Linked DNA regions of Macaca fascicularis. The protein of the gene in region 1 purifies or fractionates together with the protein of each later gene. This does not show direct contact. Links are inferred from orthologs where the notes say so. Each region holds a gene or a part of one and is shown on either strand. Other genes may lie near its edges. The genes, in order: PTGES3, SMYD2, AAR2, PPP5C, FKBP4, DYRK1B and EGLN1.

Region 1 (4,558 bases):
AGTAGCTGGGACTACAGGCGCCCGCCACCTCGCCCGGCTAATTTTTTGTATTTTTAGTAGACGGGGTTTCACTGTGTTAGCCAGGATGGTCTCGATTTCCTGACCTCGTGATCCGCCCATCTCGGCCTCCCAAAGTGCTGGGATTACAGGCTTGAGCCACCGCGCCCGGCCCTAATTTTTGTATTTTTAGTAGAGATGGGGTTTCACCACGTTGGCCAGTCTGGTCTCAAACTCCTGACCTCGTGATCCGCCTGCCTCGGCCTCCCAAGGTGCTGGGATTACAGGCGTGAGCCACCGCGCCAGGCCAACTTCCCTTTTTTTTTTTTTTTTGATACAGGGTCTCACTCTGTCGCCCAGGTTAGAGTGCTCCCTGCAACGTCCACCTCCTGGGTTCGAGCTATCCTCCCGCCTCATACTCCCTAGTATTTGGCATTACAGGCGCGTGCCACCACGCCCTGCTAATTAGTAATTTCAGTAGAGATGGGGTTTCACCATGTTGGGCAGGTGAAACTCCTGACCTCAGGTGATCCGCCCACCTCAAGCTTCCCAAAGTACTGGGATTACAGGCGTGAGCTATGGGCGCCCGGTCCAAAATGGCATTTGAGCTAGGGTCCAGTTTTCGTAGCTCCCACTACCTGTCGTGCACAACATAGACACTAAATACCTTATTGCTTATTATGAAGCCCCGTTCTTCAGAAACGTTTTATAGCACTTTCGTTAAACCTCCTTCCTGTTCATAATGCAGTGCACTAGAGTATTTTTCCCATACTCCACCGTTAAGTGGCCTCTTGGTAAGCAGGACTGTTTTGGGTCTCTTGGTTACTATCCCCTAATACACCCTATTAGTGTGTTGCACGAAGCGACGGGGAACCCGTTCTCCCCCAAATGATGTGCGTGGAGACACCCAATGTCCTAGCCTCTCCATTCCCAGAAACCTAAGACTCTCCCACCAAATATCCTTCCTGTCTCATCTACAGCACTGAGGTCTCAAGGTAGGGGCAAAAGCCCGCCCCAAATGGCAAATGCTCCTCCTCCGCCAAGAACCTCCAATTTCCGCTGTCCCTAGACAGAGCCTCCAACCTTCAGAAAAATGGCGAGGTAGACCCAGGCCCTTGATTCTGAAGTGAGCCCTTTTCCACAGCACAGCCTTTCACAGGTTTTTGTGGTGGAATGATTCCTCAGTGAACTGATTTACTCCCTCAAGAGTAACCAACGCTCCATTTTAGTTCTATAGGATCCCGACTCCGTGTCCCTCCGCCTCGGCCTTGCCTCCCACTGCCAACGCAGCCGTTTCTCAGAGAAATCGCCCAAGGCGCATGGCCGGGCAGTTGGGACACCAACGGTTTTCTAACGCGAGAGGACAGCGAGGGAGGAGAGGCGGGAACGCGTAGCGACTAGCAGGGGGCGGGGTGGGGGTGGGGTGGCGGACGAAGGGCGGGGCCGACGCCAGGAAGGATCGCGAAGGAGCTGGGAAGCCCCGCCCTTTCCGTAGATATCTCTAGAAAGCCGCGCCGGACCCCGAAAACAAGGACTGCGCACGCGCGGCGGTAAGGCCCGGGCATTTTGCTGCGTCACCAGCCGCCGCCCGGCCTCACCACCCCTCGTTTGCACGCACGCACGTTCATTCTCCGTCCTCGCGCCCGTTTTCCTACACTTTCCTCTTCTCCCCGACCGGAGGAGCCGCTCTTTCCGCGCGGTGCATTCTGGGGACCGAGGTCGAGCCCGCCGCTGCCGCCGTCGCCTGAGGGAAGCGAGAAGAGGCCGCGACCGGGGAGAAAACGCGGAGTCGCCACTGGAGAGAAGTCGACTCCCTAGCAGCAGCCACCGCCAGAGAGGCCCGCCCACCCGTTCGCCCGTCCCCCTGCCCCGTTCACAATGTGAGTGCGACACCCCGCCGAGGGAAGGTCGCCCAGAGTGAGGCCGAGGCCGCGTTGGGGGCTCCCTGGAAGCGGCCCTTGCCCTCCCTCTGCTTTTGGCCCCATAGCCTTTCTCGCATCGGTGGTGGCAGTCGTTCCTGCCTGGGGGCGGGAGGTCCAGGATCCTTGTTCCGGTTACCGTTGGCGGGTGGAGGACATTTTTCCTCCAGATGTCTGCTTCCCCCACCCCTGAAACGTCCCTTGGCTTCCCTATACCGGAAATCCTACTTTTTCCCTCTTTGGCTGTCTGGGCTACTGGCTTCCTTAGGTAACTTCACCTTAGGCCTTAAGCTCCCCGGAGCTGCTCGCCATGCGGCGCCGTGAAGCGTGAACCCTCGTGGGTCGCCTCGGCTGCTTGGGCGCTCCGGTTCTGCTGCTTTGTGGTCCCCGGGCCAGGCCCTGAGTCGAGTGCACCTGTGGTGGGTGCTGCCAGGTGCCTGGCGGAGCTCCTGGGAGAGCCCCACGCGGGCCTAGCCGTGAGCGGCAGGTACTGCTAGGCAACTAGAGTGAAGCCATGCCCACGCCGCAACATACTTCTCTCCAGTGTCTGGGTTTCTTGAGTGTGGGTTCTTGAAGTCCGCCTCGTAACTCCAGTCTCTTGAAAACACGGGAGGTTGCCAAAACTCAGCCGCTTCCCTGGCAGCGAGGAGGAGTTACCGTTGAGCAGGTAGTTCTGCACGTGTCTGCTTTGGAAAGACACGGACATTTTCTGTGTTCCATGTTAAACCTGAGGTGAGGTTTCACTATCCTGTAACTGTGGGATGAAATATGTATGTAATAGGCGTGTAATTAACCTACTGTTGTCCTAAAGAGTTTAAATTTGTGTTGAGATTCTATGGTAGTCTTCATTTTATGATGATAAAGGAAACCTCGGCGATTTTAACCGAGTAAGAATTCTTGGCACTGCCACGTACAGTGGGAACTGCCGGTTTTACAGGGTTTTGTTTTAGTTTTTGGTTTTTTTTTGACGGGAGGTTATTTTTTAAGGTACTAACTGCGTCCTAAAAGGTATGGAGAGCAATTAAGGGGGAACCTTTTTTTAAAAAATATTCCATTCAGAAGAGAGATGAGAGGGAGTGACTTTGTGGAAAAGTAAGAAGGGTTTGCTTGATTCAAAGTCATGATACTGACGGCTAGAAATCTAAAGGAATGAGTGAGGGATACACTGAAGCGAAGTTTATCACTGGAAACAAGCTTCTAGAGCACAGCATGTTAGAATTTTTGAGGGAGCCCCCTCCCCGAGAGTGATACGTAATCGGGGTTTTTAAAAGTTTGAATCAGACTGGGCGCGGTGGCTCACACCTGTAATCCCAGCACTTTAAGAGGCCGAGGTGGGCGGATCACCTGAGGTCGGGAGTTCGAGACCAGCCTGACCAACATGGAGAAACCCCGTCGCTACAAAAATACAAAAAATTAGCCGGGCGTGGTGGCACATGCCTGTAATCCCAGCTACTCGGGAGGCTGAGGTAGGAGAATCGTTTGAAACAGGGAGGCAGAGGTTGCGGTGAGCCGAGATCTTGCCATTGCACTCCAGCCTGGACAACAAGAGTAAAACTCCGTCTCAAAAAAAAAAAGTATATAAAATAGCTTTTGTTTTTCCCTTTGAAATCTCTCATAAGTAATGTAGAAGGGACATCAGTCTTAACCTTTCATACTCTGAAAATCTGTAAGGGAAAATTTTTGTCAGATAAGGCATTAAGCAGCTTTTAATAATAGAGCCAAACAACATATCTTTTCGTGAAAAATGTTTAAAATGGGCTCGAAGTAGAAGCACTTTCTGGAGGGCACATGAGATATCTAAATAGGTAAGGAACGGCTAAGTTAGGAAAGTAAATTTAAAAACTTGGGTGAAAAGTGTAAGGCCAGGCGCGGTGGCTCACGCCTGTAATCCCAATACTTGGGAGGCTGAGGCAGGTGGATCACGAGGTCAGGAGTTAGAGACCAGCTTGGCCAATATGGTGAAACCCCGTTTCTACTAAAAATACAAAAACTAGCCGGGCGTGGTGGTGCACTCCTGTAGTCCCAGCTATTCGGGAGGCTGAGGCAGGAGAATCGCTTGAACCCAGGAGTCGAAGGTTTTAGTGAGCCGAGATTGCGCCACTGTACTCCAGCCTGGGCAATAGAGGGAGACTCCGTCTCAAAAAAAGTAAGTGTAGCAGTAGAGAGACAATTCCAAAAAGCAGCCTCTCTAGTTAAAAAAAAAAAAAAAAAATGGTACCTTCATGCCGGGCGCGGGGGCTCACGCCTGTAATCCCAGCACTTTGGGAGGCCAATGCGGGCGGATCACGAGGTCGTGAGATCAAGACCATCCTGGCTAACACGGTGAAACCCCGTCTTTACTAAAAATACAAAAAATTAGTCAGGCGTGGTCGCAGGCGCCTGTGGTCCCAGTTGCTGGAAGCCTGAGGCAGGAGAATGGCGTGAACCCGAGAGGTGGAGCTTGCAGGGAGGATCGCGCCTCTGCACTCCAGCCTGGGCCACACAGTGAGACTGTCTCAAAAAAAAAAAAAAAAAAAAAAGCTACCTTTAAAACGAGTGATGCGGCCGGGCGCGGTGGCTCACGCCTGTAATCCCAGCACTTTGGGAGGCCGAGGCGGGCGGATCACAAGGTCAGGAGATCGAGACCACGGTGAAACCCCGTC
Region 2 (4,492 bases), on another chromosome or scaffold:
TTTTGTCCATCTTTCTATCCCAGTGGCTGGTCATAGTCCATGTTTCTTAAAATGCATAAATAAAAATACTATCATAATGTCCTTTACTTGAAGAGCGGTTACAAGCTTATTTAGTTGGTCACTAGTAAGGACTTTTTTGTTTTCTTTTGAGACAAGGTCTTGCTCTGTCACCCAGGCTGGAGTATGATGGAGTCATCACAGCTCACTGCAGCCTTGACTTCCCAGGCTCAAGCAATCCTCCTACCTCAGCACCACTTGAGAGGTGGTTAATTTCCCATAGAGATGGGGTCTTTATGTTGCCCAAGCTGGTCTCCAACTCTCCAATTCCTGGGCTCAAGTGATCCTCCCACCTTGGCCTCCCACAGCGTTGGGATTACAGGGCTGAGTCACTACACCCAGCTGAGAAAGCTGTTTTACTGAAATGCCAAAAATTCCACTGATTTTACATCTCCAATCATATTCATCCTTTCCCCTTGCTAAACCAGTCCTGAACTTACAGAGGTAACTGTTTGAGGTTCTAGTTTGAAGTAGTATTTTCTGCTAAATGATCTCGTCACAATTTTAGTCTTTACTGCATGTACGTCAATTCCAGTCTTTACATAATCATGTGGAACACGGATTATATTTTCCTTTCTCATATGAAAAGTAATAGCGTGCATGTGTACAGGATTTACGTTTCAGGCTTTGTGGGCTTTAAATCCTCTGACTCCTAACCCAAGTGACTTTTCTAAGATCACAGTTGGTGGGTGGTCAAGCATATTAAAACCACTGCAAACTCTAGCGCAGTGTCCTGGACACTGGCCACAGCATCGCATTATCCCCCAACAGCCTAAATTCCTTGAAGGCAAGGTTATCTCTGGCTTCCTCTGCATCGTTCGCAGCATGCAGAGACTCGGTGAGCTGGGCTGGCCAGTGCATTTCCTCTTCCGTCAATGTAATTCTACTAGAGGAGCAGAGGGCAAACTACGTTCCCATTAAAGCCACAAGGTTTAAAAACCTCTAACCTTGGAAAAGTACACGTCAACCCTCTGCACAGCAAAATTCTCTACTGTGGTTTCCCCTCTGCCGCTTTCTCCTTGGCGTTCCCGATCACTGCCTTCAGGGGTCTTTACAAGGGCAAGTGAACGTAGGGTTTGGGGGCCGGCTTCGCCCCCTTCTATTTACCGGGTGCTGGTGGTCATCCTTCGGGCCAGGCTGACTGTCTAGGGGTGGCCCTGGGATACCTGCTCCGCGCAGGTGACCCCCCTCCCACCGAGGAGGGCGCGTCCCGCTTGCTCCGTGGAGACGCCGCGGAGGCGCACACGCCTCACGCCCTCCTCGCAGAAGCCACAGGGGCTGCGGCTCTTTGTCGCGGCCACACCGGAAACGGCCCGGAGCGCGCGCGGGGCGGCCGCCGAGGGTCCCGGCGCAGGGCGGGGCCGCCGGGCCCGTCCCCCTCCCCGCGGGGGCGCGCGAGGCCCGGGCGGGGCCGCCGTCCCTTCCGGGGAGCAGGGAGCCGCCGCCGTGTCCGCCGGGCGGCTCCCACCCCGCCCCCCGCAGCTCTGGGTGACGCGTCTCCAATAACAGCTCGCCAGGAGCCGCAGCTCGGGCACAGCCGGCGCCCGCGCCCCGCCGCCACCATGAGGGCCGAGGGCCTCGGCGGCCTGGAGCGCTTCTGCAGCCCGGGCAAGGGCCGGGGGCTGCGGGCTCTGCAGCCCTTCCAGGTGGGGGACTTGCTGTTCTCCTGCCCGGCCTATGCCTACGTGCTCACGGTCAACGAGCGGGGCAACCACTGCGAGTACTGCTTCGCCAGGTAGGGCGGCGGCGGCGGGCGGGAGCCGGGGGCGCCGAGCGGGAGGCTTGGATCGCGGCGCCAGGAAGTGCGTGCGGCTCGCGGGGTCCTAGCGCCGGCCTCTAGGGCGGGGTGGGAGGCGGGGAGGGGAGGAGGCCCCGCGCTGAAGCCTCACGCCGGGCACCACGTGCGAGAGGAAACAGGACCGGTGCCCACTGCACGCCCTGCGCTGCACGTTTTCAGTTGCTCACGCAGGATGCGCAAACTCGGGAGTGCAGGTTCCTGCCTTCAAATGTGAGCTCCGAGCCAGGCTTGTTCCAAGCCTGGGCACTCACTGCCCTCCCGGTGCATTGGCAGTGGAGCCCCAAATTTGGGCAGCCACGGGCTGTCACCTTTAACTTATACTTCCTGCGGTGTATGCTGCTCCCCACAGGCCAGCCCTGCTTCAAATTGGCTGTTTCTTCCAAGGAATTTAATGACTTAGTATATGTCTTGTAAAGTACGTTTACGTGTTAAAGTACGCTTACATGGGTGTTTGGAGGGACGCCAGTGAGCACTGACCACACGCCCTGGATTCTGAGGCGCTGCAACGATGAGTTGCAGTGTCCAGTTTTGGTTTGGAAATAGGAAGACATGGTCGCAGTAAGGGATTGGGCAAGATGTGTGGTTGCTAACGGTATTTAATTGCAAGATACCATATGTATATATGTGCCTGTGTTTGTATATATGATGCATATACATTGGCACACACCAACACATATAATTATATCCTCAACTCTTATGAGAGTTTCAGAGCTGAAAGGCACATCAGAAATCACCAATTCGATCCTGTTTTTCACTTAATAGATGAGAAAACTAAAGCCCAGAGAGAAAGTGGGGTTACCTTTATCCATTCACACCAGTAGTGAAGGGAGTGAAATCTGGCCTCATTCACTTCTGCCTGTTTCTCACTGGTTAGGTGCTCAGTAAATTGACTAAGGCAGGAGGCATGGCTTTGGGGTTAAGTTTATATCAGGCCTTCCAGTACTCTGAGTAGAGACCGTGTTTTGCTTTCTTTGAACCTCAGTTTCTTCATCTTTGAAATGGAGATTCCTGGGCTGGATTAAGCTGACCTGCAGTCCTGCAGGGACCTTTTGAGTACAGGTCTCAGGTCCAGCATACTCAATCTCTCAGACCTGTGTGCCTTATTCTACAATAAGACGTAGCAAAAGAAGGGACAAAGGCTAAATATTGTAGTAATCTTGCCCAGACTCCCTGCCAGAACTGTCTTCCGCTTGGGGGGACCTGGAAAGGAACTAGACACGGAATCATGCCGTGGGCAGCTTAAGGGCTGTATGTGATGTGGCTCTTTGAATTGGTGAGCCAAGAGCTAAAGGGTCATGGCACCACTTTGCAACGTTTGAGTGAAGTGAGCATTGGGTTTTCCCAAAGTTAAAAAGGCTGCTGTGACTGGTCCCTTGATCTTCTGAGCCTTGCTGTGGCTCGGAGTCTGCAGCAGCGTGGGTGTCTGCAGTGGCAGGAGCAAAGCAGGTCAGGCAGCACCGAAGGAGCCTCCATCAGGGATCCTGGCAATTCCTGGAAGCCATCACCTAAGACCATGGATGCCAGGCACATAGTAGGTGCTTACTTTATATGGGTAGTTGCCGTTCCTGGCCCCCAGTGAATGAAAGATCAAATCCCTCTGGGTTTAGAAGGGATTAGAAGAACTGAGAGATGCTTCTGTTTAGCCGTAAGTCTCCTAATTGTTTCTACTACACATACTCCCAACCTTAGAACATTAGTGGATAGTGAGATGCAACTTCACAAAGCATTCAGCCTGGATTATTCTGCCATATGTGACAGTTTGCTGCCTTTTTTGTTACTGCATTTTTCTGATTGACATTTATTAGTGTTATTCACTGTTGCCTTGGGTCCCTCACCAGGGCTGCAACTTGCAATGGCGTGTTATTACGACTTGCAAACCCCTTCTCTGTTTGATTTCCCTGAACTTCTGTCAATACCCATAGTTTATTTCCTTTCTGTTTCCCCAAAGAATTTTTTGAAATCAATTAAAATAATACAGAAGAAATGACAGCCATGATACTTACGCAATTAGAAATATCTGTGTACCCTACTTTATGATTTCTATGAAATCTGAATCGTTTAGTATTAGTGGTTAGATCATCTGATAGATTCAGCATCAGTTTCTCTGTCAACAATTCGTATATGACCTAGGACAAATCAGTCTGTCCAGATGTATGAGAGGAACGTGTGTTTTCCTCCATAGGGCCTCAAAGTATTGGAGTAGAATTCTGCAAATGTTCATACATACAGGTCAAAATCTGCTGCCTGCCTCAGCCCCACACACCCAAAAGAAAACTACCCCTTATCCTTTCTTTTGCCGGAAGTTTAACGTAAACAGTATTGCTTAAGATAAATGAACGACGCAAGAATTTCCATGTCATATTAATTGTATCAGGATCTAACTTTTTTTTGAAGGAAAGAAAAGTGATTTCTTTAGGTAGGAATAAGTATATTCTACAAATTGAGAAATAATGGAAAATGTCTTAAGTCTCAACAGAATGGGATTCTTATGGTCAGAGCAATTCAGACAAAGGTTTGTTTGGGGAGTTTTTAATTTGTATCACATTTCTCAGTCTGGTGGGTGCCACTGGAGAAGATGCATATCTTGCCTGAGCTGCTAGAAGGCAGCTCCTAATAATATATAAATTTCTTCCACTT
Region 3 (4,015 bases), on another chromosome or scaffold:
TCTTGGGCCCAAGCGATCCTCCTGCCTTGGCTTCCCAAAGTGCTGGGATTACTGTGCCTAGACAGGACTTTTTATATCATTGGGTCAGCTGATGATATAACGTATATTTTAACAGGTATATCTTCATGCATTAGTATTTTCATGTAATAAGTAACTTTTGAAAGTCTGGCTTAAAAATGAATAGAAATCCTGTCTTTCTACCTCTTAAACATTTCAATTCTTCAAAATATATCTTGTGAAAAAGTCTGTTACAGGAATAACTTTGTTGGGTTGTTTTTTTTTTTTTTTTTTTTTTTTTTTGAGACAGGGCCTCACTTGGTGACATGGGCTGGAGTGCAGTGGCATGATCACAGCTCACTGCAGCTTCAACCTCCTGGGCTCAAGTGATCTCCCACCTCAGCCTCCTAAGTAGCTGGGACCACAGGTGTGTGCCACCACGCCCAGCTAATTATTTTTGGTAGAGATAGGGTCTCCCTGTGTTGCCCAAGCTTGTCTCAAACTCCTGAACTCAAGCAATCCTCCTCCATTGACCTCTCAAAGGGCTAGGACTATCCCTGCCACCACACCTGTCCAGGGATAATTTTGAATCTACATCACAGCTCTTTGAAATTATTTTTGATGTCATAATTAAATTTTAGACAAGGTCAGAAATGCACAAATTTAAATAAATGTCCTAAATGCAAAGAATAGGCTAATATTTAGTTTCACAAACCAAGTAAAGCCAGCTGAAGAAGCAAATCATTAACGTATATTACACAAAGAAAATTTGACTGTATTTGAAAATACTGGTCAGAGATCCAAAATATCTCAACCAGGTAGCTATTCACATACATCAAACTTAGTTCCATATGCTTAGGACAGGGAGCTAGTTTTTCCAGGTCTCTGGAAGTGGCAGAGATCAAACACTATGCATTTAAAGAGGTATTTGGTGTTGAGTGCATCTCTTCTTTTTATGGCCCACATGGACATATACCTCATTAAATTTCCAGCCACCTTTGAAGTAGAGAGAATGCCTGTGATGAGTGGCAGTAATTCTACAGTAACTTCCAGAGACCCCGTTACTTGCCCAGGGACAGTGGTGTCTGGATCATCAGGTCTCTTTGTTTGAGATGGGCATCTGATAGAAATTGGGAACATAATATTTTTTGAGTGCTACTTTGTGCCAGGTGTTATTCTAAATGCTTTACGTGTACTGTATCCATTCATTTAATCTTTGCTGCAACCCTCAAATAAGGAAATCCAGGTCTTAATAGATTGAGTAACTTGCCCAAGGTCACACAGCTGCTAAGTGGCAGAGCTAAGATTTGAATCTAGGCAGTTTGGCTCCAGAGCCCATGCTCTTAGCCACCAAGCTGCTCATAGAGATTAAATCACGGAGCCCTGTGATTAAGCAAACAAAAAATAATCTGGCTGGCATGCTGACCCTGGAATAAGTACTCAGGAATTTTTCTCTGGTGGGAGGTCCTAGAACTGTTCCCACCCAATAGAGAATCTGTTTTATCTTTCCATTGCCCACATTGTGAAGCATTGAAGTGCGGCCTTGGGCAAGCCCTTGACCTCATCTGTAAAATGAGGCAAATACCACCTTCCTGATCGCCTGTGGAGTTGGGCTGAGGGTTACATGGTGTAGTGCAGTATTTCTGTGACCCTGGAGCAGACCATCCGCATCAGAATCCCCTGGGGAGCTTGTCAGAGCTACAGATATGAAGGCCCCATCATCTCTCCTCAACCAGAACCTCTGAGGGGGAAGCTTGGGTAGCTTTACTTTTAACAGACTCTCAGTGATTCTGATGGGCAGCCAGGTTTGAGAGCCACTTGGCATAATATCCATGAACACATTTTGTAAACTTAAAATGCCAGGCAAATACTGGGAATACTTCTTCTCTTGCAGTCTGACTTTACAGAAATCCAAAGCCACAGGTTGGTTTCCCATGGCTTGAATTCATAGCGGTTCAGCAAACATTTGTTGAGTACCTGTTAGGTGCAAAATCCCATGCCAGGCTCTGCAGGAGTGACAAGGATAAAAAGTAATCTGTTGCTGAGGTCCAGTGGAATTGATGGCCTTGTGAACAGTGATGGAGAGTGTCATCTGGTTCTCCTCTCCCTCAGAATCACTTCTCCTCTCTGCACCTTTCAGGTGAACTCCAGTTTGCTTTTGTGTGCTTCCTGCTGGGGAATGTGTATGAGGCATTTGAGCATTGGAAGCGGCTCCTGAACCTCCTGTGCCGGTCAGAAGCAGCCATGGTGAAGCACCACACTCTCTACATCAACCTCATCTCCATCCTGTACCACCAGCTTGGTGAGATCCCCGCTGACTTCTTTGTAGACATTGTCTCCCAAGACAACTTCCTCACCAGCACCTTACAGGTGAGCAGTCTTTCTGACTGAGCTGATGCAGATGTGGGTCAGAATTGAGGCAACAGTATGTGTTTTGTTTCTTGCTATTCTTCCATGACCCAAAAATGTTTATATTTCAGTTTCCTAGTCTTGGGATATTTCCTGGTTTTCTCTCTCTTACTCAATTGTGTTTCTATGCCAGAAATTTTCTCTCTGTACCACGCTCACCCTATACCTCATCCCCAGTGTGCCTAAGTACAGTGGGGTACTTGGATTTGAATTCCTTCCACTGCTTTGGTTTACTCAGCTTAAAACAGCTTTTCTTTCTCCCTGTAGCCATGAATTGCTACAACCCAGTAAAGCAAAGTTTTGAAGTTTTTTATTCCCAGTGAAACATCTGCAGCTCCTTAGATCTCATTTAAGCATTAAAATAACTTTGATTTCCTGTTCAAACAAAATGTGCCAGTTTCTGCAGAGATTCTATGACAGAAAAAGTGAAATTTGCTTTTAACTTGGCAATTAAATTTTCATTATGAGTGGTAATTAGGAAAGAAGCTTCAAACAACTTACAATCTTCATCCTATGCTATTTCCTCCCTTTGCAAACAGATTAGTTTCCTTTATGTACTTGGGACAGCCTCTGTCACTCACATTGTGTAACTTTCTCAAGAATAGAAGAGGCAGAAGCTGCCAACTATCAGTTTCCATACTTTCCCTCCCATGAGCTTCTTTCTTCTCTCTGTGTGTAGTACCCCTATGAGGCCTGCTCCATATAAGGCAGCTTTTCACCAACCTTCCAATCCCACTCAGGGTAACAGAAGGGATGAATATTCATTAAATGTTGGGGCTGGGTGTGGTGGTTCATGGTTGTAATCCCAACACTTTGGGAGGTGAAGGCAGGAGGATCACTTGAGCCCAGGAATTAAAGACCAGCTTGGGCAATATAGTGAGACCCCATCTCTACAAAAATTTTAAAAATGGCTAGGTATGGTCATGCATACCTGTAGTCCTAGCTACTTGGGAGGCTGAGACAGGAGGATCACTTAGCCCAGGAGTTTGAGGCTATAGTGAGCAATGATCGTGATCGTGCCACTGCACTCCAGCCTGGGCAACAGAGTGAGACCCTGTTCACTCATTGAATCCCTTTGGAACCCTGTAAGATGGAGGTATTATTCCCACTTTACAAATGAGAACACTGAGAACGGTTAAATCATTTACTTGAAGTCATACAGCTGGCAGATGGAGGTCAGGATTTGTACCCAGGCCTGAGTCTTGGTTTCCTGCCTGTGCTTATGCCCTTGTGTAGTGAATACAGTGAATCCCCTAGAAAGGATTATTGATTGATATCAGTGAAGACTTCATCGAGGTCCTGTTTCTCAGAGGTACAGAACGCTTTTCTAAAGCCAACCTACTGTTGGACGAGTCCCTGTGAGCAAGCATCTGAGTTAAAGCTGGCAGTTGAAGGACCTGTGTAAACCATGGCAATGAGTCAGTCAAGCGCATGGTTTGAGCCTGGTCTGTTCCACTCAGAAGAGCTATAAAACTGTCCTTTTACTGGTTGTTCATGTAACAGAGAAATTAAACCCGTTTGTCCTTCCTCTGTGGGGAAAATTTTCCCCAAAGGTACTGGTTATGGGTTGTGAGGCAGTGTGAGGAGGCATTAGCCTGCTAACTTGCCT
Region 4 (4,614 bases), on another chromosome or scaffold:
ATCACTTGCCCAAGGTCACAGAGTCAGGAAAGGATTCTGCTGGACTCAAACCCAAAATTCAAATCCATTATGGCAGCCTCCTTTTCCTCCAGCCCCCAAACAAACAATACGAACAAAGAACACAAAAAAGAAACATTTACTAAGCCACCAAGATGGGCTCTGGCACCTACAGAGGCAGTAGAGTGGCAATGAAGGACACAGGAAGTAGATAGGATTCCTGATCCTGGCTCTGTCACCTTCTTATGTTGTTGTGACCTTGGTCAAACACCTCTGCAAGTCTGTGTCTTTATCTGTAAAATGGGGATGATACTAATATCTGCCCTTTAGGGTGATTGTTGGTTGTGCTGGGGGCAGTGGGAGAGATGGGGATGGACTAACAAGAGGTTTGGGAGTGGAATAGATAGGTTTGGGAGTGTGCTTCCAGGAGGGTAACCAGAGCCTTACAGGACTTAGTGCTACCTGAGGGCTTAGAAAGGACAGACTGGAAGGGTGTACGGCAGATGGGGGTTGGGGAAGGGGTGGAATCTGGAGATTAGACTATTCAGCCTGAGGTTAGACTATTCAGGGTCTCCTAATCAGGAGTTTGGGTTTTCTCCTAAGGGTGCTGGGGCCATGGAAGGCTGGGAGTGAGGGTGTGCCATGGTTTTATTATGTCTTAGAAAGATCCCTCGGCCAGGTGCAGTGGCTCACTCTTGTAATCCCAGCACTTTGAGAGGCCGAGGTGGGCAGATAGCTTGAAGTCGGCAGTGAGGCCAGCCTGGCCAACGTGGTGAAACCCCGTTTCTATTAAAATACAAAAATTAACCGGGCGTGGTGGCAGGCACCTGTAATCCCAGCTACTCGGGAGGCTGAGGCAGGAGAATCGCTTGAACCCCGGGAGGCAGAGGTTGCAGTGCGCCTAGATTGCGCCACTGCACTCCAGCCTGGTCGACAGAGGGAGACTCCCTCTCAAAACAAAACAAAATAAAACAAAACCAAACCTCTAGCTGCCATGTGAAGGGTAAATGAGGGAGGCAGAGTGCATGCAATCAACGCTGTGATCTCAGACAAGAGAATCTGTAAAAAGGCAAACAGGAGAGTTTATTTGAAGATTCAGGATTTGGGAAGCTGAACACAGGAAGAAAGGGGATGGTGCAACACACTTCTGAGCCTTGCTCAGGACTTGAAATCCAGAGTGCCTTCATTTAAAAACTCAGAAACACCCTCAGGGTTGGACCTTTTTTGGCTTGAGAAGCCACCCATTTTTCAGAGATGGGTAACTGAGGCCCTAGAGAGGAAGGGAAGATTTGTTCAAGGTCACACAGGTAGCTGACAATAGGGCTCGACGCCCGGGTCCGGCTCCGCGTAGGGCATGGCGCTGCCTTGCAAAGCAGCCACACCCGCCAGCGACATTCACAACCCACCCCCCAACCCTAGAGGACAGCAGGGAAATCCCACTTTAAGAACCGAGAAACTTTTTACAGCCTTGGAACACGGTAACTTTGGGAGCAGAGGCCACACCAGCTCTGTTTCCCCGCGCGCCCCTTCTCTCATTCCCTATTGGTTCTCTCTACCAGGGGTACCGTCCGGGGACCCTCTGGTCACCTTGTCCTCCGCGCGCTCTATGGCGAGAGGGACCTGCGCAGGCGCGTGAAGGGCCCCTTCAGGGCCCGCGCTTTACGACACTTGTGCGGCAGCGGCGGCGGCCACCCGGCGCTCCTTCGCGACGGTTCGGCCGGGTGCCGCTGGCGGCCGTTGCCAGGGTAGGGGTCGCTTTGCGGCATGGCGATGGCGGAGGGCGAGCGGACTGAGTGTGCTGAGCCCCCCCGGGACGAGCACCCGGCTGATGGCGCTCTGAAGCGGGCAGAGGAGCTCAAGACTCAGGCCAATGACTACTTCAAAGGTGCGCCCGCCTAGCAGGGAGGGTGGACAGCGGCTCAGGCCGAGGGTGCCGGGCCCGCGCGGAACCATGGCAACGCGGAGCTGCAGTCTGGGCGCGGGGCAGGCACTACCAAGTGACTGGGCGTGGGGAGGCCCAGGATGGCGCTACCAAGGGGCGACATAGGGGGCTTCGGAGAGTGATACATAGGAGTGGCGTGCGGAGCGGGTGCTACTCAGTGGAGAGACTGAGGAGGGCGTCACCAATTGTGGGGCGAGAGGGGGACTGGAATGAGGGCGCTACCAAACGTGAGGCCTGTAGAGGGCGCTACCAGGCAGTGACATGTGGTGGGGGAGTGAGTGATGGCGCTACCAAGTGGGGAGTCCTGGGGTGGGTGCCGCCAACTGGGGAGTAGAGGAGGGACAGTCCCAATAGAGGCGGCAATCGTGGGGGTGGGGAATGGATCATTAGATGGGCGGAACAAGGAAGTAGGAGATTTGGGCTGACCGAGGAAAAGGAATGTGATGGTGGGGGCCTTGGGAGTAGGGGTGGGGATCCCCAAGAATAGTGTCACTTAGAATATTGAGAAAGAGTCAAGTGTGGGGCACCCATTCATTCATTAATTCAACAAATATTTATTGAGTACCTGTTATGTGCCAAGGACTGTGCTTGACTCTAGGGATATAGCAGTGAAGGAGAGAGATGTGGTCCTGTCCTTAGCTTGTAATTTTGCAGGTGAACCAGACGTGAAAAAAAAAAAAACATGTAAATAAGTAAAATACTTAAATTGTGATGAGTGCTTTGAAAGCAAACCAGCAGCGTGATGAAGTAGAGAATAAGGGTTGGAGGCTACTTTAGATAGGGTAGTGGGGGAAGGCCTTACTGAGCAGGAAGCATTTAAGCTGAAACTCACAGAGGAAGAACTGGAGAGGAGTGTTCCAGGGAGTTAAGGCAGCCTGTGCAAAGGCCCTGGGGTGGGGAATGAAAGGACACTGGCATGGCTGGGGCTTTTGCTAGTTAGCGGGAGACCAATAGCAAGATGAGATTAGGACAGAGGGCAGATCATGCAGGGTCTCCCCGAGTCATTGCAAAGAGCAGTTTGGAATTTTTTTTTTTTTTTGAGACGGAGTTTCACTCGTGTTGCCCAGGCCAGAGTGCAATGGCGCAATCTCAGCTCACTGCAACGTCCGCCTCCCTGGTTCAAGTGATTCTCCTGCGTCAGCCTCCCGAGTGGCTGGGATTATAGATGCGCATGCACACCACCATGCCCACCTAATTTTTGTATTTTTAGTGGAGACGGGGTTTCGCTGTGTTGGCCAGGCTGGTCTCGAAACCCTGACCACAGGTGATCCGCCCACCTCAGCCTCTCAAAGTGGTGGGATTACAGGCGTGAGCCACCACTCCTGGCCCTACAGGAGGACACACTGAGTAAGTAAATGGCACAGTCTGGACTGGAGAAGAATTTGGGTGTGATCAAACTATGGTTGGGAATGGATGAGATAATCTAGTAAGAGGGTCTAGAGAGGGGACTTAGGACAGATCCCGAGTGGAAGAGGGGGAGGCTAAGGAGGACCGCTTAGTGAGGTGGAAAGGAAGCCAGGAAAGGTGTCGGGAAGGCGGAGAGAAGAGAGCGCTTATAGAACAAGGAGCTGGTGCCCTGAGTCCGATGCTGCCAAGGCGAGCACTGGCCATTGGCTTTGGCTCCGTGGATGCTGATGGTGATGTTGACAGGAGCAGTTGTTGGGGAATGACGGGGCTGGTGCAGCCAAGAGGGCGCTGAAGAGTGAATGGGAAGGGAGGGAGTGGAGAGAGCAAATGTTAAGTGTTAGGAGTATTGGTTCTGAAGAAGAGTGGAGAAATGGGGGAGGGTGGTAAGAAGTGAACGTGCGCAGGAGTTCAAGAGCAGCCTGGCCAACATGGTGAAACGTCGTCTCTACTAAAAAATTAGTCGGGTGTGGTGGCACACACCTGTAGTCCCAGCTACTGGGGAGGCTGAGGCAGGAGAATCGCTTGAACCTGGGAGGCAGAGGCTGCAGTGAACCAAGATCACGTCACTGCATTCTAGACTGGGCAACAGACAGAAAAAAAAAAAAAAAAACAACATGCAGTGTCAGGGGAAGATGGATTTTTTGTAAGGATGGAAGAGAGTAGAGTCCAGTAGAGATGGAGAATTGATTCTGCATGTGAGAGGGGAGACTTGCAGCAGCAAAACCCTGGAGAAGGTGGAGGTGGAAAGGATCTGGACCCCTGGAAAAGAGTTGGCCTCCAGCAGGAGCAGAAGCAAAGTATGGAGAAGTTTGATCTGGTGGGAGCCATGAGAGGGAGGTAGGACCAGTGAGAGATGAGGCCAGAGGTAGAACCTTGGAAGTCAGATTGGGGAATGTGGGTGTCATCCTGAGGGTGGTCGATGCCATGGGATGTTTCAAGAGTGGGGTGCCGTGGTTCAGTTACCATTCAGAAAAGATCCCTGGCTGCCATGCAGAGACTGGACTCCAGGGTAAGACAGGAAGGAGGCTAGATTAGTGGACAGGTGAGGGGTGGTGATCGCCAACCAGGCTGGAGGGACAGAAATAGATTCAAGAAGTGTTTCAGAGAGGAAGTGAGAGTGGCTGCCTGGAGAGAGGGTAGACGGTACTCCAGGCAGAAAAAAAAAAAAAACAGGTGGCAAAGGCCCAAAGGTGAGCGGAACCTGGCATGGAGGCCGTGAGTAGGAGGCTGGAGGAGGTTACGATGAAGCTGCGGGGAGCAGATTGCGC
Region 5 (4,643 bases), about 60 Mb from region 1:
TCAGTAGGTGCAAGCCAAGGACGGTTTGCGGTAAACTGCTACCCCGGAAGCGAGCACCCACCATCCTCGTCTCCCGGAGTTTGGGTGGCCCCTGGCACTGTTACTTCTGCAGAAAAGTAATGGATTGAACCCCTACAGAGGCAGCGCCCCCCGCCCCGAATCCTCTGAAGTTGTCTCCAGTCACCTAAAGAGATGTCGGTAGGGCTCAATTTGTACTGTAAATCGCTGAGCGAAGGGCTGTTTCTTTTGCATCCCTTTCAAGTTCCCTCGGCAGGGACTACAATAAATCATCACATTACGATGCTGAAAGTTCATCTCTAAAAAGCTTTCAATTTAGTTTGATGAGACAATGGCGTACAACGGCACAGTGCCGGGCACATAACGGGAAGTCCAAAAATATAATTATTATTGGAATAAAAATTCACGCTGGGCGCAGTGGCTCACGCCTGTAATCCGAGCACTTTGGAAGGCCGAGTCGGGCGGATCATTTGAGACCAGAAGTTCGAGACCAGCCTGGGCAACATGGCGAAACTAAAATACAAAAATTAGTGGGTGCGGTGGTGGACGCCTGTCGTCCCAGCTACAGAGAGCCAAGATCGCACCACTGCACTGCAACCTGGGAGACAGAGCGAGACCCTGTCTCAAAAAAAAAAAAAAAAAAAAAAAAGAAAGAAAAAAAGTTAGCCAAGACTTGGAAAAGTTAATTTAAAAAAGGAAAATTCATGCAGCCAGTAACTATTGGACACCACTCACCAGGCACTATGCTAAACTGGGGTTAGGTGCTGACCAAAACCAGGCCCCTCTCTAGATGGCTTTGTAGGTCCCACGACCATGGCTTAGGTGACACGGGCAGTTGCGCGCTCCACAGGCTGTCGAAAACCACTCGGGAAACAAACATTGAGAGGAAAAGACTCCTTCTGGAAAACCGAGTGACTTTTCTCGTGAGGGGCACCCACGTGTGTAAGCATTCGCAGAAACGGCAGCTGTATTACCGCCGGGAAGGGTCCCCTGAGTGCGCGCCCCGTCTGAGTTCCGAGCTGGGCGGGCCATGCCTCGCCAACCCCGCTGCTCGCAGCATCTGCAGGCGCCGGGGTAGGCACCGCTGCGTGACCCGGGCTTCCCGGCTCTGGGGAAATCGAGGTCGCTTTCCCCGGCTCTCTGCAGCGGGGCAGCGTTGTCCGCTCACTCCCCCCTCCCCGGACGCCCTCACCCTCTTTCCCCCAGGTAGGGAAGGGTCTACGCGGGTCATAGCGGAGAGACCACGCCGCCCGTGGTGACGGCCCGTCCCGGGGAGGGGGCGCCGCCACTGCCATCCCGCCGCCCGCGCTCCCCACACATCGCCGCAGGCGCAGCGGACTGGTGGAGTGATGTCGGGAGATCGATCGAGAAGAATCTGGAAGAATCCGGTTAGACAGGGAAGCGGACGGGGATGGGAGGGAGGGAGGAAGGGCCAGGGGAGGCCGCTGGGGAGACTCCCCAGAGTCCGAGGGTCCCCGGAGAAGGGGGAGGGGGCAGGCAGCCAGAAGGAGGCAAGAACCAGAAAAAAAAAGAAAAAAGATTCTGAAGCGCCCGCAGCACTCAGCCCGAACCGGCTCAGTCCCGCCGTCTCTAGAAAGTTCTGCACCCCGCCCCCTCTGTCCGTGCTCCCGCTCCTCCCAGCCCCTCCCTCGCGGCGGGGCGGGACCAATCGCTCCCGGAGCGGCTCCTGACCCACCTACCCCCGCTCCCGCGCCGCGTGCAGAGGTGCTCGAGCCTCCTCGCGGTCCGCAGTCAGTGCCGCCGCGCCCGGCCTCCCGCACGCGCCGCAGGTAGCGCCCCCGCCAGCGGCCCAGGGTGCGCTCGCGCCGGTGCCAGCTCCCGGAGAAACGGCGCGCCGCGCGGAGATGACAGCCGAGGAGATGAAGGCGGCCGAGAGCGGGGCGCAGTCGGCGCCGCTGCCCATTGAGGGAGTGGACATCAGCCCCAAACAGGACGAAGGCGTGCTGAAGGTGAGGGGCGGCGGGGCCTGCGGGGGCGGCCGAACCTGGGGCCCTGCGGGCCGCCCTTCCGCCGAGCCCGGAGCCCGCGGCCGGGCACGGGTCGAGGCGGCCGCCTCTGCAGCCTCGCGGCCGTCCTGCCGGGGGCCGGTGGCATCGCCGTCCGGTACCGGGCTGCGTCGTTTGAGGCACCGAGGCCGACCATGCGCTCAGCAGAGGGGCGGCCTAGGTGCGCGGGCCGAGGCCCCAGGCTCCCCAGTCCCCAGCGCCCGGGCCGGGGCAGGGGGTCGGGATTGCAGTGCCCACCCCGGCGCGCGCGGGGCGGCGGAGAGGGGCGGGGCGACCGCCGCGGGCACGCGAGCCGCAGCCCGGGGCCAGGCCGGGCCTCCCGCGCCACGCCGCCCCCGACCCCCGCGGCCCCAGCGGAGCTGCCAGCCGCGGGGGCCGCCTCGTTAGTCGCGGTGCCAGGGCTCGCCCACCCGGGCGGTGGAACACGGGCCAGGACGGGGAGCGACTCCCCACAGTGCTTTCCTGGCCCGGCGGCCTTTGTGCGACGCAGGCGCGACAGGGTTCCGGCGCCCTCCCGGGGTCCCCTGGCGACGCCGGGACCCAGCGTGGTCCCCACTCGCCGCGCGCGGCGCCCCCTCCCTCGGCCCCGGGGAGGCCGGGCGCGGGGCATGCCGGGAGCTGTAGTCCCCTCCCCCCCGCCGCCTCCCCGAGCCGGGACTGCGGGGTGTGGGGCGGAGAGGAGGCGCTCTGCTGTGGAGCCTGCCGCCGAGTGACCGCTCGACTACAAATAGCCTGGGGAGCTGTGGGGAGGGCATCTTGACCTGGGCCAGGACAACCTGCCATGGGTCGGAGCAGGTTCCGGGGAGAGTCCGGAGAGGAATTCCCAGCCCGCGTCTTATGCCTTCTCCCCATCCGCTGCTCCTCCTCATCCTGGCTTCCCACCGCTGAGCTCCGCGTGTGTGGCACCCGCCTCAGGGGGCCTTTAGCTGGTCCAGAAGTGCATCTGTCTTTGCACCAGATTATTGGGGACCTCGAGCGTCTGCTCCAGCGGCTCTCCTGTGGCATGTGGCTTCCCCTTCTCGCTCCAGCGTCCTGCTGTTTTCTATGAGATTGTTATTCCGGGAAGGGTCATTTCCCCTTTGATCCGCCATTCCTTCCCTTTTACCTTTCTACTCCTCCAAGACCCTGTCCATTCTCCATGGAAGCTTTCCCTTAGAGGGTAACCACACACCTACCAGGTGGCGCTAAAGGAACCTGTGCGTTTCTGGGAAATAACTCCAGCCCTGGTCTTAAACAGCCTACCAGTGAGGAATACTCCGCTCCCAAGTCAGAGTTTAAGGTCCCATGGAGAGCCTCTGGGTTCACTTATAACCTGGTTTCTTCCTTACCTGTTTTGAACTGTTTCTGTTCTCTTCACTCATACTCCTCTCGTTCTCCTGTCTCCAAACCAGACCTTAATCTGATGACCACTGGCATGAAGGAAGAAGGAGGAAGTGTGGCATAAATACTTCCCCCTTTGTCGATGATAATAATAATCTATTATTCAACCCTTTACTGGTCTAATCTTCCAACAAACTGTAGGAGATAGGGATTATCATCACTGCTTTACAAATAAGGTGTGGAGAATTTTTAAAACTTACCCATACAGCGGAAACTTGAACTCAAATCTCTCAGCCTTTTGTCTCCTTTTTCAAACCAAGTCTTGCTGTACCTGAAGAAAGACAGGGAGGTTAGTTGACTCCTAAGTCAAGTTGCTAGTAGCTGAATCTGGAGGGACAAGTAGGCAGAGGAGGATGAACCCAGAGAAGCCCCTTCATGTTCCCTCTGGAGGCTTGCAGGCAGTGTTGGTGCCCCTTTTGGCCCCAAACCCTGGGTTACTCACTTTCTCCCCCTTCCTCCCAGGTCATCAAGAGAGAGGGCACAGGTACAGAGATGCCCATGATTGGGGACCGAGTCTTTGTCCACTATACTGGCTGGCTATTAGATGGCACAAAGTTTGACTCCAGTCTGGATCGCAAGGACAAATTCTCCTTTGACCTGGGAAAAGGTAGGCGTGGTCAGTGGGCTGGTAGGATAGGTTCGAGGTGGACACAAGCTGTCACAAGCTGAAACCATTTTCTCAGGACCAAGCTCAGGGAGGAATGGTTTATCACAGTCTGTTAACTCTTTCGGTCACTCTTTTTTTTTCTACCGTTCTGTAACTATACTGATCTTTGTCTCCCCTTCTCCTCATCACCTCCCAACACCTTACTCCCCCTTCAAAGGTGGACTGTCTTGCATCTTAAACTCTTTTGTTCAGGGTCAGGTGATCTTTTACAGTTCTTAGACCTGGTAGCACTTAATGCAACCAGGTATCTCACCTTCTGGTCCCATTTCTAAAGGATGTTCAGCTTCCCCATGAGTGTGGTGCATTAACTCTTCAGAAGCACTGTTTGAGCCCAGAATCAGAACCCTGCTAAAGTGGTCCTGTTTGCCTCTGTACCTGCAGGGGAGGTCATCAAGGCTTGGGACATTGCCATAGCAACCATGAAGGTGGGGGAGGTGTGCCACATCACCTGCAAACCAGAATATGCCTACGGTTCAGCAGGCAGTCCTCCAAAGATTCCCCCCAGTGCCACGCTTGTATTTGAGGTGAGTGTCCGGCCACTGACATCAGGC
Region 6 (3,283 bases), on another chromosome or scaffold:
GTGCCGAGGGTCTTGGCTGCTGGCATGAGTCACTCACCAGTCCCCATCTCCTGCCTGGCTGGCTGGGCAGGTATACTATGCGAAGAAGAAGCGGCGGGCCCAGCAGGTGCCACCCCAGGATTCGAGCACCAAGAAGGAGAAGAAGGTCCTGAACCATGGTTATGATGACGACAACCATGACTACATCGTGCGCAGTGGCGAGCGCTGGCTGGAGCGCTATGAGATTGACTCGCTCATTGGCAAAGGCTCCTTTGGCCAGGTGTGGGACACCCCCCTCTCCCACCCTGATCCAAGGCCCCACTAACATTGACCACATACCCAGTGGTTCAGTGGCTTCAAATCCCATGCTGGGCCACTCACCCTAGCCCACTTAGTTTCCCTGTGCCTCAGTTGCCTTTTCTGTAAAACAGTTTAAATAACAAGACTCAACATAAGGTGGTATGTTATTTCACGTCCAGCGTTTCCACCAGTGCCTGACTAATGGTGTGCACTCAACTGCGAAGTATGCATAATGTTCTCGGTGGGCCTCCTTGCCTGGAGGGAGGAGAATGGTGCCTGGCTCTGCCCTGCCCCCACCCCTTTCTTCTTGACATGCCCTGCCCCAACAGGTGGTGAAAGCCTATGACCATCAGACCCAGGAGCTTGTGGCCATCAAGATCATCAAGAACAAAAAGGCCTTCCTGAACCAGGCCCAGATTGAGCTGCGGCTGCTGGAGCTGATGAACCAGCATGACACCGAGATGAAGTACTACATAGGTGAGGCCCGGGACTGGCAGGGCTGTGGGCACCTGGGATAGCGGGAGCTGGAGCCAGTAGGGATGGGTCACACCCCTGCCCCACCCTCAGGAGGAGGCTGACATCTTCAGAGCAGGGTTTGATCTGTGCTTCACTGACATCAGTGATTCTCCTGCTGCTTTTATGGTTTTTGTCCTATTTACTTGGTAGTGGTCAGAGGTTACTGAGTGCTCACCAACGGCCAGGCTGTCTTGGAAGCACTTTATGTAAGTTAACTCACCACAGCCCATAAGGGGATTATTACCAACATCTTGAAGAAACGAAACCCGGGCTTCCATCCTAGTTTCTTCTTCAATAAAACAAACAAAAACAAAAAAAATGGGCTGGGTGCGTGGCTCACGCCTGTAATCCCAGCACTTTGGGAGGCCGAGGTGGGTGGATCATGAGGTCAAGAGTTGGAGACTATCCTGGCCAACATGGTGAAACCCTGTCTCTACTAAAAATATGAAAAAATTAGCTTGATGTGGTGGCACGCGCCTGTAGTCCCAGCTACTCGGGAGGCTGAGGCAGGAGAATCGCTTGAACCTTAGAGGTGGAGGTTGCAATGAGCCAAGACCATGCCATTGCACTCCAGCCTGGTGACAGAGCGAGACTCTATCTTAAAAAACAAACAAACAAAAAACCAAACAATAATAACAACAAAAACGAAGAAAGGAAAAAAGAAACCCAGGGATTCAAGTGCTGTCACTTGCATGAGGGGGCAGTTTGTACTAATTGAGCTATAATTTGATGAGGCCGTGGACTCCAGAGGTGTTACTCTTAACATCTGTGCCAGTCTTTCTTCTCCCTTAAACTGATTCCTCTTAATGGACATAAACATCACAACATAATCATAAACAGCAAGTGGATTTTAAAATGGTTTCGTTTGAAAGGAAAATGTACATCCTTAAAGTAGATGGAAAACTAGTGTCCTTTGCCACAAAAATGAATACAAGGGAGATGAAAGCAGTGTTACGAAATTAAAGGAGGAAGTGTAGAATGTGTTAGAGCTAGTAGTAACTAATGAAACTTTCTCGTTTGTTTAATTGGAGGGTTTGACAGAGACTTGGAAAGAGCGTTAACTTCCTGTGTGAACCTAGTTGTTTGTTAGATAAAAAGATCTTGACTAGCAGATGGTACCCGTGGGCACAGCACATGTGGCTAGTGATCAAAGAGTGTTGTATGACCCCAGGCCACCACCTGCCCTCTCTGAGCCATTTTTTCTCTGGCCCATTTTCTCCCCTCCCTCGCAGTGCACCTGAAGCGGCACTTCATGTTCCGGAACCACCTGTGCCTGGTGTTCGAGCTGCTGTCCTACAACCTGTACGACCTCCTGCGCAACACCCACTTCCGCGGCGTCTCGCTGAACCTGACCCGGAAGCTGGCGCAGCAGCTCTGCACGGCACTGCTCTTTCTGGCCACGCCTGAGCTCAGCATCATTCACTGCGACCTCAAGCCCGAAAACATCTTGCTCTGCAACCCCAAGCGCAGCGCCATCAAGATCGTGGACTTCGGCAGTTCCTGCCAGCTTGGCCAGAGGGTACGGGGCAGCCCGGTCCTGGGAGCAGGGCTAGTGGTTTGGGTGAGGCAGGGCCAACAGGAGGCTTAGGGGCGGGGCTTGGCTGGGATGGGATTATTAGGAACTGCTGGAAGTGAAGGATAGTGCTTGGGGTGGGGGTGTGGATGTACTGCCCACTAGGATGGGGAGGGTGAAGCCTGAGGGGGCAGGGCTCGTTTTGAAGCTGCCAGATGTGAACAGGGTAAAGTTGGGTTGGGTTTGAGCCCTGGGTGCTGCTTTACTAAGTTTTTGTGTTTTGTGTTCTTAAAGCCGGGGAGGGAGGTGGAAGGCTTCAACTTTGCAACTCTGTGTGAGGTGCCACTAAAAATGACAATAGTATAGGGCTGGTGGAATGTCAGCCTCTGCCTGGTGACCCAGAAAGGCCCAGGATCGGGGTTGGGGGTGGAGATCAGGGTCTCTTTAGGCCAGCAGGCTCCCCAGATTGATAAACAAGATGGCACCAGTGGCTCCCAGAAAACTGGTGCTGATAATGGCAGGATTTGGAGCCTCAGTCCCCATTTTGTCAGCAAGAGGCTTGTCCTTAGTTGGGTCCTCTTAGCTTTGGGGGTGTCAGTGGGACCAGTAGAGGAGGCTGGGACCCTTGACGATGACCCTTTTCCCAGATCTACCAGTATATCCAGAGCCGCTTCTACCGCTCGCCTGAGGTGCTCCTGGGCACACCCTACGACCTGGCCATTGACATGTGGTCCCTGGGCTGCATCCTTGTGGAGATGCACACCGGAGAGCCCCTCTTCAGTGGCTCCAATGAGGTGTGCCCCCAGGAAGGGGTGTGCTGGAGGTGGAGGGGGTGGAGCCTGGCTGGCCTGATGACCCTGACTCCCGCCTGCTCACAGGTGGACCAGATGAACCGCATTGTGGAGGTGCTGGGCATCCCGCCGGCTGCCATGCTGGACCAGGCGCCCAAGGCTCGCAAGTACTTTGAACGGCTGC
Region 7 (4,015 bases), on another chromosome or scaffold:
ACGTCTTTGTCTGTTTTCTTCATAATTCCTGAGAACTTTTTAAAAATTCCTTTACCAATTTCAGTTGATTATCATGTACACCTAGAATATGGAAGTTTTTTTGTGCTTTTTATTTCGGGCCTCTTTTCTGCCTTTATGCTTAACATCCAGCAATCTTCTGAACCGTATCTTGTTATAATCTGAGCAAATAATTTTCTTTCTGGTTCAAAGAGGGTAAACTTACATAAGCTAATTTGTTTAGTCTTTTTAAAAAAAAAAATCACTGACATTAAATGAATTAATGTTTGGAGTTGAGTTGACCTAAATGATCCCTATTACAACATAGTAAGACCCCATCTCTACAAAAAAAATACAAAAATTAACCAGCCTGGTGACACGTGCTTGTAGTCCTAGCTACTTAGGAGGCTGAGGTGGAAGAATCACCTGAGCCCAGGAGGTTGAGGCCACAGTGAGCCATGATTGCACCACTGCACTCCAACCTCAACAACAGAGCCAGACCCTGTCTCAAAAAAAAAAACAAAACAACATTGGTACCATTCAGAGACAATGTCAGGTGGGGTGTTTGACTGGGTTGGTTCACCTGTCAGATGGTAAAGTAGGTGTTCTTAGGTGAGCTCAGGGAAGAGAGAAGTCTCCCATGGAGCAGGACAAAAACTCACTTGATCTTGATTATCTATATTTATATGACTGTGAAAGTAGGACCATGAAAATTTTCTGATCTTTGGAGTTACCACTGTGAAGCAGAATTCACCAGTCCTTGAATTGTTCATCAGCCTATCTTGTGTTCCCCATAAATATTAATGTAGAATAGCCTTATCTTTCTTACCTACAAAATATTATTTTTATTAGAAGAATCTTAAGTGTGAATCAGTAGCCAAAAATCAGAGATCTGATTTATTAGCTGTTCTCTCTTTTTATTTATATGTGGACTTTAATAATCATCATCATTATTATCATTACAGGCCATGGTTGCTTGTTATCCGGGCAATGGAACGGGTTATGTACGTCATGTTGATAATCCAAATGGAGATGGAAGATGTGTGACATGTATATATTATCTTAATAAAGACTGGGATGCCAAGGTATGCGACTTAATTGAGCATTTATTTTTTTCTTACAAAAGCATTACGTTCATACTTCTGATAGGTGAGACTGTCACAGACACAGTTAAAAATTTTCCTCTTAAGTTTGTTTCAGTCTCAGGTATTAGGAGTGGATTTTTGTAAAATGAAACAAATACTAGTCTTAAGTTATACAACATAATACCTGTAGTTAACAATGTAGTGTTGTGCACTTAAACATTTAAGAGAGGAGATTCCATGTTCAGTGTTCTAAACACACACACACGCGCGCGCACACACACACACGAGGTTAAGGGAAGGGAAACAAACTTTGAGAGGTGATGGATATGTTTATTATCTTGGTTGTGGTGTGTCACGGGGGTGTGCATATACATCCAAACTCATCAAATCGTAAATGTTAAAGATAGGCATTTTTGTATATCAGTTATAACTCAATAAAACCATATAAAAAAGTACTGATCAATCTTTAAAAGTGGATTCATTTGTTTTCAGATATTAGAGCATTTATCTAAAATCTAACTTTTTTAGAAAAGTGACCTTTATTAAAATATTTTCCTTTTAATAGTTTTTAGACAAACACTTCTGAGAACAGTTGTTTTATAATGGCTTTGGGGGAGATTATAGATAATTGTTAAGGAAATAAGGATTATTTGCTATGTTATTCTTTGCATTTTTGTAAAAATATTGTATGGCATTGAGTTGTTTAATTGAATATTGGAGGCAGGATTCAGTCTTTCCCTGATTATTAAAAAACTGGAATTTTATCAGTACTGACAAGCCCTGTAAAATCAATTAGAATGTACAGTATATTTAATCTCTCTTGTTTTAAATATATATTTTCTTAATATTAGCGTGAGTCTCATTAAATTTAAATGATTTTTTAAAATATGTCATGTATTACTACAGTAGAGACTGTACAGACTAATTTTTTGGTTGATTTTTTAAAATCTTAAGTAAAATATTCAAATAGAAAAGTGGCTTGTGTATAGTTCAGTGGATTTTCACAAAGTGAACATACTTGTGTAGCCAGGTGTAAAGGTCAAATAACCTTTAAAACACCTCTTTCTCTGCATCCCCCAAAACACACACATGGAAACTGCCTGAGTCTTAAATGTACAAAAACCTAATCCTACCCTAAAAAGTGTTTTAAGTTTAGAATATGCTCACAGTGCTCCAGTAATCTTTTTAAAACACACACTGATTTGAAGAGTTTTCTCTGCCCTAGTCCAGGTTCAGAATGGAACTAAACTTTCTGCTAAGTATATATTGAGGCATTATGTCAACAAGCATGGTTTTTCTGTTACAGCTTTCAAAGTTTGAAGTAGAGAAATAAATTTTGTAGTTGAATTTGAGCTCAAGGCGCAAAACAGATTGGTGTAACTTTAGTTAAAATTTAAAAATTGACTTTTTTTCAGATTTTGTGAATAGCTAGAAAGCTAGAACTGTGTTTCATCAACTTCTAACTTCTAGATTTTGTTAGGCTTTTTCTAGGCTGATCTTACAATTTCTATAAGACTTAGGGTCATTAATATGTAGGTTTTAAATTAGGACATAGGCAGAAAAACATCCCTAGTGTTTTTATATGTGGAATAGAAGTTTTCCGTTGCAAGATTGCACTGAATATGTAGTGTGCCAGATGTTCTGGATGCTAGGGATATAGCAGAAATGGAATTAGCCCTGGCAGAGCTTAGGATCTATTGGAGGATACAGATCAGAAAGATTGACAGTTACAGATAGTTATGCAAAGTGTCAAGACAGATTGCTATGAGAGCACACAGGAGGGCCACCTAATTCAGAGGAAGAAGAGTGGATGTGTCAAGTAGCCATTTCTCTTAAAACATTTTCAGCAGGTCACCTGTGGTACTCCCAGTGACTTGAGTCAAAGGGAAGGGAGCAGGAAAAAAGGAAAGAAAACATGTTCTCAGTTTGGAGGTTCTTCAGATATTTGCATAGTAGCCTGGGGAATCACTCGGAACAACACTGGAACCTGAGGAGGTTGGCAGGGGTATCAAAGTAGCTAGAATTTAACTTACCTGATGGTGAGCCTGATAAAGCTTTAACTATAGATTCTAGGCTTAGGCTCAAAGTCCATGCTGTCCTGACCAGGTGTTAGAGTTTCTTTCAATTTTAAGAGTCTACCTGCTTCGGAGTGTAGTTATTCAAGAGTAAGGAACTACTTGGTTGGTTGAGTTTTGCCTAGCCCCAGATCTTAAACACCACAAGGACAAAGTCTGTCTGCATTATTCCCTACTCTGCACCCAGAGTCCACCACAGTTCCCACTGTGATTTGATGCCTAGTTGGTGTTTAGGTAAATAATAATCCTTTATGGATAGAATCAAGTTTCACAAGCAGGTGATGCATCAAGCCCAATCTTGAAAGGGAGAGCCACAGGTTCTAATGGACTACATGCTGATGGTGATGGTGATGATGACAATAATGATGGTCATAATAAATGATGACACTTTCTACTGATATACTGAATTATTTAAATGAGAGGTATCTGTGACTATCCTGTTGTTTATTGAAATTTAAAGTATGGTAAACTCTTTATTTGACATAATCTATTTCTAATAATAATTTTTTCAAAATTTCTTGAAGTCTATTTCAAGAGTAGGTTAAACATATCATTAGCATAAATAAATGTTTAGTAGTTTAAAAAACTTTCAAGCATCATTTTAAGACTTTTAAATTCAGATAACATTCTTGTGTTTCATCGGATACTTATAAAAATCCCTAAAATGGCTGGGCACAGTGGCTCACAGCTGTAATCCCAGCACTTTGGGAGGCTGAGGTGGGCAGATGACCTGAGGTCAGGAGTTCGAGTTCAGCCTGACCAACATGGTGAAAACACATCTCTACTAAAAATACAAAAATTAGCCGGGCATGGTGGCGCATACCTGTAATCCCAGCTACTCAGGAGGCTGAGGCCGGA

What was found.
Region 2: the proteins of PTGES3 (region 1) and SMYD2 purify together in Homo sapiens (affinity purification with mass spectrometry; 3 studies listed by BioGRID and IntAct, with this or other methods). This does not show direct contact. The link is inferred for Macaca fascicularis from reciprocal best matches to the Homo sapiens genes PTGES3 and SMYD2.
Region 3: the proteins of PTGES3 (region 1) and AAR2 purify together in Homo sapiens (affinity purification with mass spectrometry; 3 studies listed by BioGRID and IntAct, with this or other methods). This does not show direct contact. The link is inferred for Macaca fascicularis from reciprocal best matches to the Homo sapiens genes PTGES3 and AAR2.
Region 4: the proteins of PTGES3 (region 1) and PPP5C purify together in Homo sapiens (affinity purification with mass spectrometry; 5 studies listed by BioGRID and IntAct, with this or other methods). This does not show direct contact. The link is inferred for Macaca fascicularis from reciprocal best matches to the Homo sapiens genes PTGES3 and PPP5C.
Region 5: the proteins of PTGES3 (region 1) and FKBP4 purify together in Homo sapiens (affinity purification with mass spectrometry; 3 studies listed by BioGRID and IntAct, with this or other methods). This does not show direct contact. The link is inferred for Macaca fascicularis from reciprocal best matches to the Homo sapiens genes PTGES3 and FKBP4.
Region 6: the proteins of PTGES3 (region 1) and DYRK1B purify together in Homo sapiens (affinity purification with mass spectrometry; 3 studies listed by BioGRID and IntAct, with this or other methods). This does not show direct contact. The link is inferred for Macaca fascicularis from reciprocal best matches to the Homo sapiens genes PTGES3 and DYRK1B.
Region 7: the proteins of PTGES3 (region 1) and EGLN1 purify together in Homo sapiens (affinity purification with mass spectrometry; 5 studies listed by BioGRID and IntAct, with this or other methods). This does not show direct contact. The link is inferred for Macaca fascicularis from reciprocal best matches to the Homo sapiens genes PTGES3 and EGLN1.

Annotation. Positions count from the first base shown.
Region 1 is NC_088385.1:63,494,747-63,499,304, reverse strand, and holds the start of PTGES3 (prostaglandin E synthase 3), read left to right. Parts: upstream 1-1,580; 5' UTR 1,581-1,875; coding exon of another isoform or gene 1,876-1,877; intron 1,878-2,128; exon of another isoform or gene 2,129-2,184; intron 2,185-2,460; 5' UTR 2,461-2,634; coding exon 2,635-2,648; intron 2,649-4,558. UniProt on the Homo sapiens protein: Cytosolic prostaglandin synthase that catalyzes the oxidoreduction of prostaglandin endoperoxide H2 (PGH2) to prostaglandin E2 (PGE2).
Region 2 is NC_088375.1:72,065,280-72,069,771, forward strand, and holds the start of SMYD2 (N-lysine methyltransferase SMYD2), read left to right. Parts: upstream 1-1,297; 5' UTR 1,298-1,619; coding exon 1,620-1,792; intron 1,793-4,492. UniProt on the Homo sapiens protein: Protein-lysine N-methyltransferase that methylates both histones and non-histone proteins, including p53/TP53 and RB1. Specifically trimethylates histone H3 'Lys-4' (H3K4me3) in vivo. The activity requires interaction with HSP90alpha.
Region 3 is NC_088384.1:92,328,480-92,332,494, forward strand, and holds part of AAR2 (protein AAR2 homolog), read left to right. Parts: intron 1-2,137; coding exon 2,138-2,367; intron 2,368-4,015. UniProt on the Homo sapiens protein: Component of the U5 snRNP complex that is required for spliceosome assembly and for pre-mRNA splicing.
Region 4 is NC_088393.1:54,378,641-54,383,254, forward strand, and holds the start of PPP5C (serine/threonine-protein phosphatase 5), read left to right. Parts: upstream 1-1,751; 5' UTR 1,752-1,761; coding exon 1,762-1,882; intron 1,883-4,614. UniProt on the Homo sapiens protein: Serine/threonine-protein phosphatase that dephosphorylates a myriad of proteins involved in different signaling pathways including the kinases CSNK1E, ASK1/MAP3K5, PRKDC and RAF1, the nuclear receptors NR3C1, PPARG, ESR1 and ESR2, SMAD proteins and TAU/MAPT.
Region 5 is NC_088385.1:3,664,877-3,669,519, forward strand, and holds the start of FKBP4 (peptidyl-prolyl cis-trans isomerase FKBP4), read left to right. Parts: upstream 1-1,739; 5' UTR 1,740-1,883; coding exon 1,884-1,988; intron 1,989-3,887; coding exon 3,888-4,032; intron 4,033-4,473; coding exon 4,474-4,616; intron 4,617-4,643. UniProt on the Homo sapiens protein: Immunophilin protein with PPIase and co-chaperone activities. Component of steroid receptors heterocomplexes through interaction with heat-shock protein 90 (HSP90).
Region 6 is NC_088393.1:46,950,161-46,953,443, reverse strand, and holds part of DYRK1B (dual specificity tyrosine-phosphorylation-regulated kinase 1B), read left to right. Parts: intron 1-70; coding exon 71-259; intron 260-608; coding exon 609-756; intron 757-2,027; coding exon 2,028-2,314; intron 2,315-2,955; coding exon 2,956-3,102; intron 3,103-3,186; coding exon 3,187-3,283.
Region 7 is NC_088375.1:17,716,431-17,720,445, forward strand, and holds part of EGLN1 (egl nine homolog 1), read left to right. Parts: intron 1-962; coding exon 963-1,082; intron 1,083-4,015. UniProt on the Homo sapiens protein: Cellular oxygen sensor that catalyzes, under normoxic conditions, the post-translational formation of 4-hydroxyproline in hypoxia-inducible factor (HIF) alpha proteins.